Linked DNA regions of Saccharomyces cerevisiae S288C. Changing the gene in region 2 together with the main gene of any one other region gives a genetic interaction. Each region holds a gene or a part of one and is shown on either strand. Other genes may lie near its edges.

Evidence for each region.
Region 1: mutations in ARP6 (region 2) and GIM3 together harm fitness more than expected from each alone (negative genetic interaction), as found in Saccharomyces cerevisiae (5 studies listed by BioGRID, with this or other methods).
Region 3: mutations in ARP6 (region 2) and RPD3 together harm fitness more than expected from each alone (negative genetic interaction), as found in Saccharomyces cerevisiae (5 studies listed by BioGRID, with this or other methods).
Region 4: mutations in ARP6 (region 2) and PHO23 impair growth when combined (synthetic growth defect), as found in Saccharomyces cerevisiae (6 studies listed by BioGRID, with this or other methods).

What each region holds. Positions count from the first base shown.
Region 1 is NC_001146.8:345,169-348,340, reverse strand, and holds GIM3 (tubulin-binding prefolding complex subunit GIM3), read left to right. Parts: upstream 1-2,282; coding exon 2,283-2,672; downstream 2,673-3,172. Other genes in the region: RPC31 (DNA-directed RNA polymerase III subunit C31), read left to right, coding at 1-575; INN1 (Inn1p), read right to left, coding at 799-2,028; serine/threonine protein kinase YCK2, read left to right, coding at 3,065-3,172. UniProt on the Saccharomyces cerevisiae protein: Binds specifically to cytosolic chaperonin (c-CPN) and transfers target proteins to it. Binds to nascent polypeptide chain and promotes folding in an environment in which there are many competing pathways for nonnative proteins.
Region 2 is NC_001144.5:299,819-304,119, forward strand, and holds ARP6 (Arp6p), read right to left. Parts: upstream 2,172-4,301; coding exon 855-2,171; downstream 1-854. Other genes in the region: RAX2 (Rax2p), read right to left, coding at 1-433; condensin subunit SMC4, read left to right, coding at 2,425-4,301. UniProt on the Saccharomyces cerevisiae protein: Component of the SWR1 complex which mediates the ATP-dependent exchange of histone H2A for the H2A variant HZT1 leading to transcriptional regulation of selected genes by chromatin remodeling. Involved in chromosome stability.
Region 3 is NC_001146.8:17,160-21,331, forward strand, and holds RPD3 (histone deacetylase RPD3), read right to left. Parts: upstream 2,144-4,172; coding exon 842-2,143; downstream 1-841. Other genes in the region: AAD14 (putative aryl-alcohol dehydrogenase), read right to left, coding at 1-89; PEX6 (AAA family ATPase peroxin 6), read right to left, coding at 2,382-4,172. UniProt on the Saccharomyces cerevisiae protein: Catalytic component of the RPD3 histone deacetylase (HDAC) complexes RPD3C(L) and RPD3C(S) responsible for the deacetylation of lysine residues on the N-terminal part of the core histones (H2A, H2B, H3 and H4).
Region 4 is NC_001146.8:440,753-444,397, forward strand, and holds PHO23 (Pho23p), read right to left. Parts: upstream 1,607-3,645; coding exon 614-1,606; downstream 1-613. Other genes in the region: PLS1 (Pls1p), read right to left, coding at 45-167; 40S ribosomal protein eS7 RPS7B, read right to left, coding at 2,646-3,074, 3,420-3,563. UniProt on the Saccharomyces cerevisiae protein: Component of the RPD3C(L) histone deacetylase complex (HDAC) responsible for the deacetylation of lysine residues on the N-terminal part of the core histones (H2A, H2B, H3 and H4).

The DNA.
Region 1 (3,172 bases), on a different chromosome or scaffold from region 2:
TTGGAAAGACTGTTAAAGATGGCCCATTTTATACCGGATCAATGAGCTTGATAATAGATCAACAGGAAAACAGCAAGAGCGGTAAACGCAAACCCAACATAATCCTAGACGAAGACGATACTAATGATGGCATTGAAAGATATTCCGATAAATATTTGAAAAAAAGGAAAATAGGTATTTCTATTGATGATCATCCGTATAATTTGAACCTCTTTCCCAATGAATTGTACAATGTAATGGGGATCAACAAGAAAAAATTATTGGCAATCTCCAAGTTTAATAATGCCGATGATGTTTTTACTGGTACAGGTTTACAAGATGAAAACATCGGACTATCCATGCTGGCAAAGTTAAAGGAGTTGGCAGAAGATGTGGATGATGCGTCGACGGGTGATGGGGCAGCAAAAGGAAGTAAAACAGGCGAAGGAGAAGATGATGATTTGGCGGATGATGATTTCGAAGAAGATGAAGACGAAGAAGATGATGATGATTATAATGCTGAAAAGTATTTCAACAATGGTGACGATGATGATTACGGTGATGAAGAGGATCCAAATGAAGAGGCCGCCTTTTAGTTGAAAATTTATACCGCTTTACCATATTTTTGGATATTCTTCAAAGCAGAATTTGTACAATTAGCATTTTTCTTTATGGTTTAGATCGGCGGTGAGGGCGCAACAGATTTATGTATACATATTGAAATAATAAAATTTAAAAAAGAAAAAATCTTGGTAAACATTAAAAATCTTAATTCTATTTAAATATTAGTATTACAATAACAGCATGTTTCTCTTGTCATTAGCTGAGCCTTGGAGGTGGTCTTTTTCTTGTAGGAGACATCGAATTCTTCCTCGAATTAAAATTGGAATTCGAAGTAGTCGGTAGAGGTGGTAGTTTTGGAGAATTCAGGCCTGATGGATGAGGATGTGAGTTAGGCGAAGAGGAATCTAGGCGTGAGGGTCTATCTCTTCTTACTAACGGCGTATTGCGCGAACTTGAATAATTGGACATATCATCTCTGGTCGGTATAGGAGGTAAGGGCGGTTGGTTATAGTTGTGGGAGACTCTATGGCTGGAAGAATAAAATGCGTCATTTTCGTCGTCATCGTCATCATCTTCGTCGTAAGACAACGAAGTTACACCAATAGCCTTTTGAAGTGCCTCAATATCTACCTTGTTAGATTCATTTTGGCAGTTGTTTGTTGAACTATCAGGATTCTTAAATATATTTATCTTCTCCTTTAATTTCCTTAAATTGGCAAAATGGAATTTTGTATTCGAAGTGTTTGATATAGCAGTATCATTAGTTTCTAATGTAGACGTTGTACCCATGGATGCTGAAAAAGTTGGAGGTAAAATTATTGGGTCATTACTATTTGCCAATACCGCTGTATCTGATTTAGATGACATGGAGAAAACATTGCCATTTCTGTAGGGCTGTCCCTCATCCTTATCCTCGTGACTTGTGCTAACACACTGGGGAGTAATCTGTCTCATCGTAGAACCATGAACATAGTCATACTCTGATTCTGTTGGCAATGGTGGTATCGGCCTCATAGCCATAGATGAATCCAACCTGTCCATTTCTTTGTTAAGATCGTCCCTGTTTAAACGAGGTACTTTGGGAGTGAAAGTCAACTCAATGAATATAGTGCCAGCAAATTCATCCCCACTTCTTTTCAGTTCGTACCAGGTACAATAACCCTCCTTCGGGTCTGCTCTAATAGCATTTAAAAGGTCTATTTCACATCTTCCAATTGGCAGCGGAGATTTTTTCCTTCTATCGCAGTAAACTTCGACGTACATTAAAGGCTTTATCTCTGGAGTAATATCAAATTTTTCTAAATAATGGAAAACAGGGTTTTGACCTGCTCGATGTAGAGTGTTGCTGGCTCTTGTCATATGAGCTATTCGCAACCTAAGCATTACATTTTGCTTGTCCAGTTTATTCAAATTAGGCAAGTCTCTAGCTTTGCTCACATATACGGAGAGGATTCCTTGGTTTCCATTCCATACTTCTTCGGACATTCGACAGTGACTCAACGAGTTAACCCAATTCCAGTTGTGAAACCTAAGGTCTCCGAATTCTCTCGTACTATTAACATACCTTTCTATGTTTTTATCTAAATCATATGAGGAACGCTAGGCCGTCATTCATGATCAGCAGAGGCGGCTTTTCATACAATTTTACAGGAAGCTAAGTACTTAGAGGACTTATGCTCTGTTTGGTCCTGCGGAAACTACCAGAATACACAACGCCAAGAAACTAACAGAGGACCATTATGGAACTGTTACCACAGGGACAAAGGAACAACACTCAGGTAACGTTCGAAGATCAGCAAAAGATCAACGAGTTTTCGAAGTTGATTATGCGTAAGGACGCCATTGCGCAGGAATTGAGTTTACAGAGGGAGGAGAAGGAGTACCTCGATGATGTGTCTCTAGAAATTGAATTGATTGACGAAGATGAGCCCGTGCAATACAAGGTGGGCGACCTCTTTATCTTCATGAAACAGAGCAAAGTTACCGCACAGCTCGAAAAAGACGCAGAACGTCTCGACAACAAAATAGAGACTTTAGAGGACAAGCAAAGAGACATTGATTCCCGTCTTGATGCTCTGAAGGCGATCCTGTATGCTAAATTTGGTGATAATATCAACCTTGAACGTTAGAACACTCATTAAAGTGTGGGCTGTGGGTGTCTCCACAAAATGAGTAATGAAAAATTTTTAATTTTTTCAGGAGGGAAATTAAAGAAAAGTAAAGAACATGATAATAAAAAGCAAGTTTAAGTTATTGTGTATGAGATAGAGTTTTTTTTGTATACCTTTGTAATCCGCATATATTCCTAAGTACCTTTTTTTTCAGACAGAAAAAAAGAGTTTCTTTACGGAAATTACTTCTTTCGTTTGATATTGTTTTTCTCTTTCGAGATTTAAGAACGTGGTTGTGTTTCGTGTTTCTGTGCAGATCATATTAGAAAGTTTTTTTCTCCATTTTGATAGACAAAACTTGTTGTTTCTACTGAACACAGCATATAAGCCAAGAAAATAGTTTTCCAAAAATGTCTCAAGTGCAAAGTCCTTTGACAGCAACGAACTCTGGTTTAGCTGTCAATAATAACACAATGAACTCACAAATGCCTAACCGTAGCAATGTTAGATTGGTCAAT
Region 2 (4,301 bases):
TGAATATAGGCGTCATAGACAGTGTCGACAAATTGTATAATATCTGGTTTCCGACAGAGATATTGTTTATCGTGCCTGATCCGCTAAGAATAAACGAATCAACGCCAAATGGTGTAATTTTGTCTATTCGAGTATCATCAGAGGCATCTTCCAACTGGATATAGGTGTTGTTAGAGTAATAAACTAATCCATGTGAGCTTGTTTCTGGACCTATTTCTTTAGTGAAATTTTGTTGGCCTGTGTACTCGTAAAAAGATAAGGCGTCCACACCCCCGAGGATTTGTACTGCGTTGCTATTATTTTGCGATATATTCAAATTCGGTAGCACATTATCTTCGATGTCCAGAAGAGATTTAATATTCTCCAACTGTGATGCCTTCGATATCTCCACAAGAAAAGGAAATGCGAGTGTCCAGAGACGATGAACAAACATTTAATTTCTATATCGTAACGAAGAACAGGTGTATTTTGATCGTTTTCTCTTGCGTTTCTTCGTTTCCCGGTCAATCAACTGTATAAATATAAAACGAAAATTGTATTATCTTCTCCTACAAAGTCTAGTATGGGGATGATTAAAGCGCACACTTTCCTTCGAGACTTCTGATGATGACATTTCCACATTTCCATATATTTCTTTTTTTGTATCGCGAAAAAATGGGAAGAATGGCGTTTCTAACCACTAAAAAAGAGGAATTTTTGCCTAATTTGGGAATTTGTCAATAAAAATGTAAAACATATGAGATGTATTATTGCCTGCGGAAGATTCTTAAAAACATGACAAAATCCAAATTGAAAATGACCTGAAGGTCTCGACTTTTCGGATTTTCATTGTTGCTATGTAAATCTATAGTTAATTATATCCAATTCTGGTAACCAAACCTGTGCTTCGTACACCAATCGGGACCATGCTCATAGTATTCTTCTCTTGTGACCCTCGCTTTTCGGTAGGAATCTGTCTTTGCAAACTGTGACATCACTTCCCACCCAAACAGAGCACAGTCACCTTCGGGCACCGAAACATGACAAGTCCAATCTGTGGGTAATTGCCTTTGTAGTTCTGCCGCAAGCCGTTGGGCGAAATTGGGCAGATTAAAGTTTCCTCCTGTACATACAATGTTTCCTACCATAAGAGGTCGCACTATTTCGGGCAACATGGAAAGGCTCTCTAGGATGGCCTCCACAATGCCTGGTTTAGTAATTTGCGAAATTTCTGGATGGAAAAAAGTTTCTGGTATTGTGAAAAGCTCATCTGTCAGTGTTATGATCTGCGCATCTTCAGGTAACGGTACATTTTCTTTTCTGGGGTTTCTTACGTAACCAAGAAAGCTTGTTTGGAAGTCAGGAAGTACATATTCTAGTGCATGCTTATCCTTCGTTTTGAAACTATCAAAATAAGACACCGGGCTAACGAACAAGCATTGTTCCTTGATATTGTTAACAAGTATGGTTTCATCCATCATATTGTAGTGTCTGAATGATAGAGTTTCCTTTAGTAGCCCAGTTAGGAAACGGCCTCCAATGTCCAATTTTTTTACCGCTTTATAGTACGGTATTCCCTTCAGGACAGGAATTATCCAAGTACAATTAAACCCGGAATCAATAACTAATTGGAAATCATGATAATCGCTACCTGAATCCTGCGCATTCTTGGACTCGCTTGATGTGGAATTTGTACTGTCTGAGTTGCCACGGACAATATCGATATCTTCGTCCTTACCTGAAATTGTTCTCATTTCACCCTTATATGACTTGGTAAATGGTACAAAGACTGCTACAGGAGACTTGAAAAGACTGTCGAATTCATATTCTTCAAATATCACCTGGTCGGCATGCTTACTTAATTCTGGTAAAGTCATACAGCTCTCGCTAGCAACCAAATGATGACCCTTTCCCTCTTTCAGATCAAACCCATCAAACTCTGAAGGATTGAAAAGGCAATAATCCCATATACAACTCTCTAATTCCCATAATGTGAGCTGTCCTAGTTCATGTGGCCTCCTGAAGGTGATAGATGAAATATCTTTGATGTTTTTGATATGATTTGATAAATACGATGTCCCAAATTTATCTTTGGCCAATGCATTTAAAGCTCGGAACGGTTTCTTATTCGTGGAAGGACCAAACTTGATTTCGTATGAGCCATTATCAATCACAATGGGTGGTGTTTCCATAGTTTAAATTATCTTGTCCACGATTCTGCGCTTCTTCTCCTTTGGTCTTGCATTAATTCTCTTGTTCTTCTTGGCCCATTTTGAAATGCATTTGTAATTATGGACGGAAAGTAAACTGTTTACAATAATCACGAAAATACATATAGGTTTACATTATCTACACACTGGAATCGATTTCATACCATAAAAGAGGCCCTATAAGAAGCCGCATCACCTTAAACACTAACCACGTGCAACCAACAGAATATATTTGATGTCTGATAGTCCATTGAGCAAAAGACAAAAGCGGAAGTCCGCCCAAGAACCAGAATTATCTCTTGATCAAGGTGATGCCGAAGAAGATTCGCAGGTAGAAAACCGAGTTAACCTAAGCGAGAATACACCAGAGCCGGATCTTCCTGCGTTGGAAGCATCTTATTCCAAATCTTATACTCCCAGAAAGCTTGTTTTAAGTTCTGGGGAAAATCGGTATGCCTTTTCTCAACCTACAAACTCAACAACCACGTCATTACATGTACCGAACTTGCAACCACCAAAAACCTCTTCTAGGGGTCGCGACCATAAGTCCTACTCTCAATCACCACCAAGGTCTCCAGGAAGATCGCCAACTAGAAGATTAGAATTGCTCCAGCTTTCGCCAGTGAAAAATAGCAGGGTTGAACTACAAAAAATTTATGATAGGCACCAGTCGTCGAGCAAGCAACAGAGCAGACTATTTATTAACGAACTAGTCTTAGAGAACTTCAAGTCCTACGCTGGTAAACAAGTAGTAGGACCCTTTCATACTAGCTTCTCGGCCGTGGTAGGCCCCAATGGTTCAGGTAAATCAAATGTCATCGATTCCATGTTATTTGTATTTGGATTTAGAGCGAACAAGATGAGACAGGACAGATTGTCGGATTTAATTCATAAATCAGAAGCTTTCCCAAGTTTGCAATCATGTTCCGTAGCTGTACATTTTCAGTACGTTATTGATGAATCTTCGGGTACTTCCCGAATCGATGAAGAAAAACCTGGATTGATCATTACAAGGAAAGCCTTTAAAAACAACTCATCGAAATATTACATAAACGAAAAAGAAAGTAGCTACACAGAGGTGACAAAGCTTTTAAAGAATGAGGGTATTGATTTAGACCATAAACGATTTTTAATTCTACAAGGTGAAGTAGAGAATATTGCTCAAATGAAGCCTAAAGCAGAAAAAGAGAGTGACGACGGACTACTGGAATATCTGGAGGACATAATTGGAACTGCAAACTATAAGCCGTTAATTGAAGAGCGAATGGGACAGATTGAGAATCTAAATGAAGTTTGCCTGGAAAAGGAAAATAGATTTGAAATTGTTGATAGAGAAAAAAACTCTTTAGAGTCAGGGAAAGAAACGGCGTTAGAGTTTTTAGAGAAGGAAAAGCAGCTGACGCTTTTAAGATCAAAATTATTTCAATTTAAATTGTTGCAAAGCAACTCTAAACTTGCCAGCACCTTGGAAAAGATCTCCTCTTCGAATAAAGACCTCGAAGATGAGAAGATGAAATTTCAAGAATCTTTGAAAAAAGTGGATGAGATTAAAGCACAACGTAAGGAAATAAAAGATCGAATATCATCTTGTAGCTCGAAAGAAAAGACCCTGGTTTTAGAAAGAAGAGAATTAGAAGGCACCAGGGTGTCTCTAGAAGAGAGAACAAAAAATTTGGTAAGTAAAATGGAAAAAGCAGAAAAGACTTTGAAATCCACCAAACATTCAATATCGGAGGCCGAGAATATGCTTGAAGAGCTTCGTGGACAACAAACCGAACACGAGACGGAGATCAAAGACTTGACTCAATTGCTGGAAAAGGAACGAAGTATACTTGATGATATTAAACTATCTTTGAAAGATAAAACGAAGAATATATCTGCAGAGATTATTCGGCATGAAAAGGAACTGGAGCCTTGGGACCTCCAACTTCAGGAAAAAGAATCACAGATACAATTGGCTGAATCCGAACTATCTTTGTTGGAGGAAACTCAAGCTAAACTGAAAAAAAACGTTGAAACTTTAGAAGAAAAAATTCTTGCCAAGAAAACACACAAGCAGGAGCTACAAGATCTTATCCTCGATCTGAAAAAGAAGCTGAACTCACTTAAAGA
Region 3 (4,172 bases), on a different chromosome or scaffold from region 2:
GAAACCCTTATGCCGGCAGTTTTAGAAAGAACCCTGAGACGTCCCAATTCGGTAGGTGGTTCAGGTAGAGGTTTAAACAAGTCAGTCATGCTGAATAGTGGTTTTTTATGCAATAGACAATATGTTAAGTAAAATACAAAGCCGTTCAGCTAATTGGTTAGCTAGTTAATGAAGAGAAGAACAGCATGCATCCTTGACTTGGAAATATTGTCATACTTAAATATGGTTGGAAATTTTGCCCCCCGGTTTCCTTGAATACGAACAATGCAACTTATTTGAGTCTTCGTACGAGATCTGCTTACTGGTTTTGTACAGCGCTGAAAGCGAATTTGAAAATATATGCAATTAGAAGAGAGTGAATCAGATGAGGATAGGGTTAATACTGTAAAATTATTACCAAATATTGAATGACATATAAAAGTCGTAGTAACCGAATTTGTTTTTTATTATGAATAAAGACTTCTTGTTTTCGCATACTTCGATGATTTAAGAAATTAAAAGTCATTTACCCAGGCGTGATTATAAATTATATTGGCACCGCTTTATCAACAGCGGTGGGACGAGACGTTTAGATAGTAATTACAATAGAAATACAACTGTTTCAATATTAAAATATCTCTAGTATGTAAATAACACATATAGGCAATTTTCTTCGAAACGTATGGGACGCGGTTGATGTATGAACGGAACGCATCAATTAAAGGTTTGAGAAAAGTCTTTTGCAAAAAAATTGAGTTTGCACTTCTCATACACAATTGGATAGCGTCTTAAGTGCCTTTTATTCACTTTTCTTCTTTTGTTTCACATTATTTATATTCGTATATACTTCCAACTCTTTTTTTCAATAGAATTCATTGTCATGCTCAACATGTAGGTCCCTCGCATATTGCGAACCACCCTTCGTATCTTTAGCCTCGGCAGAATCTTCTTCAACATCACCCAAATCTTCGGCATCCCTAGGTGTGTGATTCAACTGAACACTAGGGGCATACTTTGTGTTTTCCAAATTAGCAAATATATTGGTCATTACCTTGTCAAGATATTCGGGAGTATTTACATTGAACATATTCGAAGGTCTAACACTTAACTTATAATCTGGACCGTAATATTCGTAATATTCATTGTACGGTAAATCTTTATCCAAGACAACGTTATTTAGTAGACCTGTTTCAAAGCACCATGTCCTTGCAACATTTCTCATAGTATAGCCTCCTCCACCAACAACCATCATTGGGATCCCAAAGGATTTCACATAGTTTACACAATTAGCATGGCCTTCCATGGAAAGATTAAAGCAACCAAGACGATCGCCGGACAAGGAGTCCCCACCACACTGTAACACGACAGCAGAAGGTTGATACCATTCCATAATTTTTTTTATCACAGGTTCAAACACAGATCTATACGTAGCATCGTCAATACCGTCTCTTAATGGCACATTGACCGCGTAGTTTTTTCCTGCACCCACCCCTATATCTCTCAGTTCACCTGTGCCAGGGAAAAACTCACCATATTTGTGGAAAGAACATGTCATGACACGATCCGTTGTATAAAACGCTTCCTCTACACCATCACCATGGTGCACATCAATATCAATATACAGAACTCTGGGGTGGTATCGTAGTAGCTCAATAATGCCCAGTACTATGTCATTTAAATAACAAAACCCAGAAGCTTCCGATTTTTTTGCATGATGCAAACCACCCGCATAGTTGACAGCAACATCACATTTGCCTCTATTCAGACGAGCAGCTCCTTCCATAGAGCCACCACCAGATATGCTACAGTACTCATAGAGCCCATCAAAGACAGGACAATCATCTCCGACATTAAACTTGACACTTTCTCTTTTAAACATTTCTAAATTATCTGGAGTAACCCTCGATAAAAAATCAATGTATTCATCAGTATGGAACTGACACATTTCTTGTTTCGTTGCCGGCTTAGCTCTGTAAATTTCCATCTTCTTGTACAAGCCATAATTCATAATAAGGGAATGTGCCATTCTTATTCTATGCGGCTTCATCGGGTGACCTGCTCCATATGCATAGTTCCCAACGTCTGCATCGTAAAAATATGCAACGCGTCTTTTATCGCTTGGCTTGACCGTGATCGGATCAAAAGGTGTTGCTTCATATACCATCTGCACGGATATCGAGTTGTAGCCACGAATGTTTTGTATGGCGCAATTGTTTTATGAACCTTTATGGTTATTACTTCAAATTTTTATTATGTATAATCAACTACTAGTATCTTTTCTGTTTTTCCCTTTCGATAGATACTATGAGCCGGGGAGGGTAAGTAAATAAAAAGATAAATTTCAAGGCAAAATATGGGACATATATTTACAAATTTACCTATACGCTCTGAGTTGATATTACTTAAGCACCTTCAAAATTAGCTCTCACCGCTTCATAATGATTCAGTTCAGCCCGCGACACACTTGGGGTGAGCTGCTCTTGTGCTTTCAAGAAGTCTTCCATTTTTACGACAACCTTAGTATCCTCTTTTGTCGCAATCTTATCAAACCAGCGACGTGTAGAAATATTCTCTCCCGTCAATTCGTTATGCTGAGAAACTTTTTTTTCTACCATGCGTGCAATTCTTGACATGGCGTTAAGCATTGCATCTGAGCAGAGAGCATAAAAATCTGCCCCGGTGTAATTAAATGGACATAGCTTTGCCAACTCAATAAGCTTTACGTCGTTGTCGAGCACGAATTTGCGAGTCAGAGCCTCTAAAATATTCAATTGTTTGGTATCCGTATCCGGAATGCCTAAATATAACAATTTATCGAATCGTCCTGGTCTTAGTAGTGCTTCGTCCAATAAGTCTGGTCTGTTTGTTGCTCCGATAACAAATACACCGTCAGCGTCGGTACTCATACCATCTAACTCTGCTAGTAACTGTGAAACGATACGATCCATAACACCACCCGAATCACCTTGATTACCACGTTTGGGTGCTACTGAATCGATTTCATCGAAAAATATGACACAAGGTTTAGCCTCTCTCGCCTTTTGAAACACTCTGCGCACATTAGCTTCACTCTCACCAATGTACATATTCAACAGTTCAGGGCCTTTAACACTAAAAAAATTTAAAGAAAAATTTGTTGCAATGGCCTTAGCCATTAGAGTTTTACCTGTACCCGGTGGACCATAAAAAAGAATACCGCTTCTCTTTTTCATACCTGAGGTAAATAATTCAGGATGTTTTAGCGGCATGTCTATTGTGTCCAATATTTCACCTTTAACAAAATCAATACCACCTATATCATCCCAAGTTACGTTAGGGATTTGTGGGGCACCAATCGAAACCGAGAATTCGTTCCTAGCTTTCGAAGTAGCTTTTGATAAATCCTCCTGAGTGATCAAAATTGATTGCGGAAGCCATCCACACTTCTTTGATTCTTGGTAAAAACGCGCAGTAGCCGTCATTCGTGCCGTTTCCACAATTGATTTGATGTCTAAAGGAGTTAAACCAGCAGAATATGAAGAGAGTGATGAAAATGAAATATTATCCATGTAAGATACTGGAACCTTTTGTTGAACATCTCTGTTTAGTTCATGTGAAGATAAGTACCACTGAAAGATACGCAGTCTCTGTGCTTCAGACGGAACGGGTACGAGAATCTCAAATCTCATATGTGATCTAAAGCTGGAAGGCACGTTATCTATGTTATTTACGGAGCCAACAAATGTAGTTCCTGGGAATTTAAACGTAAAATCGTCCAGAAGTTTAGACATTTCGAAGTTTATAGATTTTTGTAATTTGATTGCCTCTGGATCTTGATTAGCGTTTACGTCAAGCAAAATTGAATCCAAATGAGCCAAAAAAATCACAGCAGGTGATGCGTACGGTAGGACATTTTCACATTTAGCCCTAATGTAACCAATAATCTTAGATGTTGAATCCAGTTGTCTTGAATTTGAAGTGAGCGAAAGGCAATCTATCTCCAGTAGATGTATACCAAGATATTTTGAAGCAAATCTCACCATTGTAGCCTTGCCCACATTGTTTGTAGTGGAATGAAGTAACACAGAGGCATTTAGGGTGATTCCCCTTTGAGAACAATTGAAGGAAGTTTCTAATATGTTAACCAATTGTCTTACATAGGGGAAGATATGCAAATCATAGTAAAAAGTTTCAGCAAAACCGTAATATCTCTG
Region 4 (3,645 bases), on a different chromosome or scaffold from region 2:
GAAATGAGCGATTCTAGGCGATAAGAGAAGACAACGGCTAAAACTTAAGATGTTGGGGTACTATAAATGTTTACCCAGATTTTCGGTAGAAATGTTTGCTGATGTGAACCTTGTTTCCCGTTTTCCCAGATCCCCTTATTCCAGCTTTGTTTCGTCTTTGCTGTCATGTTCCGTTTAATTTCTGAAGGCCTGCCTAGCTTCACCGTCCTAAATGTCACGCTCCAGGCAGAGACATGGCGCAGGGGCGAGGCCAGGGGCAAAGGGGTCAGGCAGGAACCTCCAAGGGGGGCGAGGTGAATGAAAAGGTCCTTCTGAATAAAAAGCCTAAGCGATTAGCCACACCACCCACTGTACGGCGATTAGACTGAGCTGCTGGCGCTGCTACGCCGTGACAAGTCATTTCATCATTTATTACGTTTTATCGTGCCGTCATCACCATCGATTTGAATATTTTATCTAGACCGGTAGGGCCCAAGTATCTTGCAGATCCATTGATACGGCCACGCCCGTTAAAACGCTAAGATATATATATATGTAGCTAAGATATATATATATGTATATATTCGGTATTTAGTAGATATTTCCTTAAGGCGATATTCGCCCGAGAGCTATTTCACAGTTTTTTTTTGCAGTCGTCGCAATACCACTTGCCCTTAGGTAGAGTTTCGAGTCCAATACATGGCAAATGGAACCATTCTAGCTCACAGTCTGCGCCATCACACCCCACCATTTCCCCGTATGCCACTTGGTTACAGTAGCAGTAGAGCGGTTCGCCGTAGTCGTTGGTTTTTGGTCTTGATATCCTGCTGTTGTTGCTGTTTCCGACGCTGCTAACTCCCCTGGACGCTGTAGATGTACCTATCCTGCCATTATTGACGGCAGTTGCCGTGCTGATAGTGCTTGGTGAAACGGCTGTGGTGGCAACTCTCCTCTTGCGTTTTTTGGTCTCTGGATCGGCGTTGTTGGTATTGGCAGCGTTGGCTCTTTTTCTTGAGTTTGTGTTGTTACCAGTGTGGTCTTGGCTCTCGTGCCTGCTGCCTCCGTAGTTTGCGTCGTTCTTTGAGTCGTCTTGTTGGTGTGTGCTGGCGGAGTAATGTTCGCCCTGCCTCCTGTTGGCAGCCATGGCTTCTCTTCTTGATTCGCTCTTCAGTGCCTGCGACGATTTGCTGTTTGATTTGCTCTCTATTTTTTCCATTAGTTCATGATGGAGGTGCATTGCTGGATGGTTGTCCACACCCAGTCTTAAACCTCTAGGAATTTCTGTGTTCTTGATTGCGACTTCATACGCCAATTCTAACCGGGACGTCAATCTGTCTAGATTATCCAGCATAATGGATGAGACATGCATTTTCTCCTCCAGCGATGGCATCAGTTCTTCATAAATCTTGTTGATATTATTGAGCAGTCTTACTTGTGTTTGGTGATCTTTATTGAAGTCTTTCTTCAAGAACTTATCTATCCTCTCGTTCAAATTCGGCATAGAATGCACACATTTTGCATCTATTTCGTGTAGTAATGTTAAATATCTGGAGGTGGCCAGTGGGAATTCCTCCAGCACGTCAGTTATGTCGTTTAATCCAGGGAATAGGTTCGCTGGTGAACTCATTTGTACGTATTTCAGACTATGAACGTGGTTGCTGTTTGTGATACTGCAAGACTACAAACTTTTCTCCTTCCGGGTTCGTCCTGTTGTAAACGCCTAACTCTTTTCCTTAGGCTCCTTTTTCGTTTTTTCCCTAGCTCTTTCTTTCTTCTTCATGTGCATGCACTCTTTCCTACATATTTTTTTTTCAAGGGCATTTTTAACTTTCTTCGGAAATCGTCTAAGAATTGTAAACTATAATTGCAAATACGCGATTAGCTCTATCTAGAATACCGAAAAAAAGGTTTGCCACTCACAATTGGACGTGCCTCAATTATTTCAAGTATACGTCATTTGGGCTTTTGACTTGTAAAATATACTCAAATGAAATTCTGATTATACAAAGTTGAAACACGTAACACGCCATGTCAAGGTACGCGTAGAGGTAAGCAGATAATGCATGGACAATGTGCTGGGCGAAGAGGCGGATCTAATTACACATACTTGGGATCATCTAAGATTTCAGATGGTTATGTTAATGCTCACTTGTTCCACGCCTTTTTCCTTTCCTTCAGATAAGTAATCCGCATATCAATGTGAAAGAACTAACGGTTGTTGATGGACGTATCGTTGTCTAGCGATAAATAATGCTTTTTCTTCAACAAATAAGTGGTTGTTTGGCCGAGCGGTCTAAGGCGCCTGATTCAAGAAATATCTTGACCGCAGTTAACTGTGGGAATACTCAGGTATCGTAAGATGCAAGAGTTCGAATCTCTTAGCAACCATTATTTTTTTTCCTTTTTATCTGATTGCAGCGAGAACTTGGGAAATCAACCCAATATGTATTCCAAAATGTCAAAACACCAATTAAAGCATCTCTATATTGACAGATACAAAATATATTTAAGTATACATTCATAATTATTTTACTCGAATTAAAAAAGCCCACTTTTTGGAAACCTCCTTTTGTATTCTCATAACTATGTTTCTTTTTTTATTATTTTTTCTTAATATTATTTTCTTTAAGTATGACAAATGATGAGAATGATAGTTATCTCACTATTTAGTTGGTCTGGCTTGGAATTTCAAAAACAATTTGTTTGCCAGTCAACTTGTTGTAGACAGCTTGGAAAGATTCCAACTTGTAGTCGATTTGTTGAACATCCTTGGAGTCTAACAAAACCTTTTGGATCTTGTTACCACCAACCAAATATCTAACTCTTTTACCGACAATTTCAGTTGGGAAAACCATGTCTTCCAAAACCTTGTCGTGAACAGCAGTCAAAGTTCTGGATCTTGGTCTCTTTTGGACTTGTCTAGATGTTCTAGATGGTTTTGGCAAGATTCTTCTTTCAGCCAAGAAAATAACATGACGGTCAGGGAATTTCTTTTCCAATTCACGGGTCAATTTGGTTTGGACCTTATGGTATGCAGACAAAGCTGGAACTGGGACAAAAAGGACTAGTGCTTTCTTACCACCGGTGACATCAATCTAAACAATAAGAATCAAGCAGCGTTGAAATAAAGTTAGTAACTGAATTGGTTCATTCATAACAAAAAAGGGTTTGTGATTCTTCTCCTTGGGGTAAGGTCTTTTTCGCGTGCTTCTATTTTATTCATCGATATTGGTACTGACCAAGGAGGCCTTTATAGTTCAAAGGCTCATCGCAACGTTCATGGTATTGACAGCTCTCGGAATTACTATTTTTCTCGAACACATGAAAATTTCATACAGATACTGCTCAAAATCACTCTTTTTTGAAAAAATTACTGCAAAGAACCCCTTTAGAAGAAATCACAATGTTGCTGCTTCCAAATTATATAACTTTTAACATACTTCTCTGATAGATTTGATTTGCAATGGTCTCAAGTCAGCCTTTAGTTCTGGAGAGGAGCTTTCTAGATCGATGAAGGTCTTGGCGACTTGTAATTCCAACTCACTTGGAGCTTGGGATAAGATCTTGGATTGGACAGAGGACATTGGTCAGTTATGTGTCTAGTCTTTAGTGTGTTGGTTTCTCTTCTGTTTGTATATACAAAGTCAAATAACACATATTTTAACC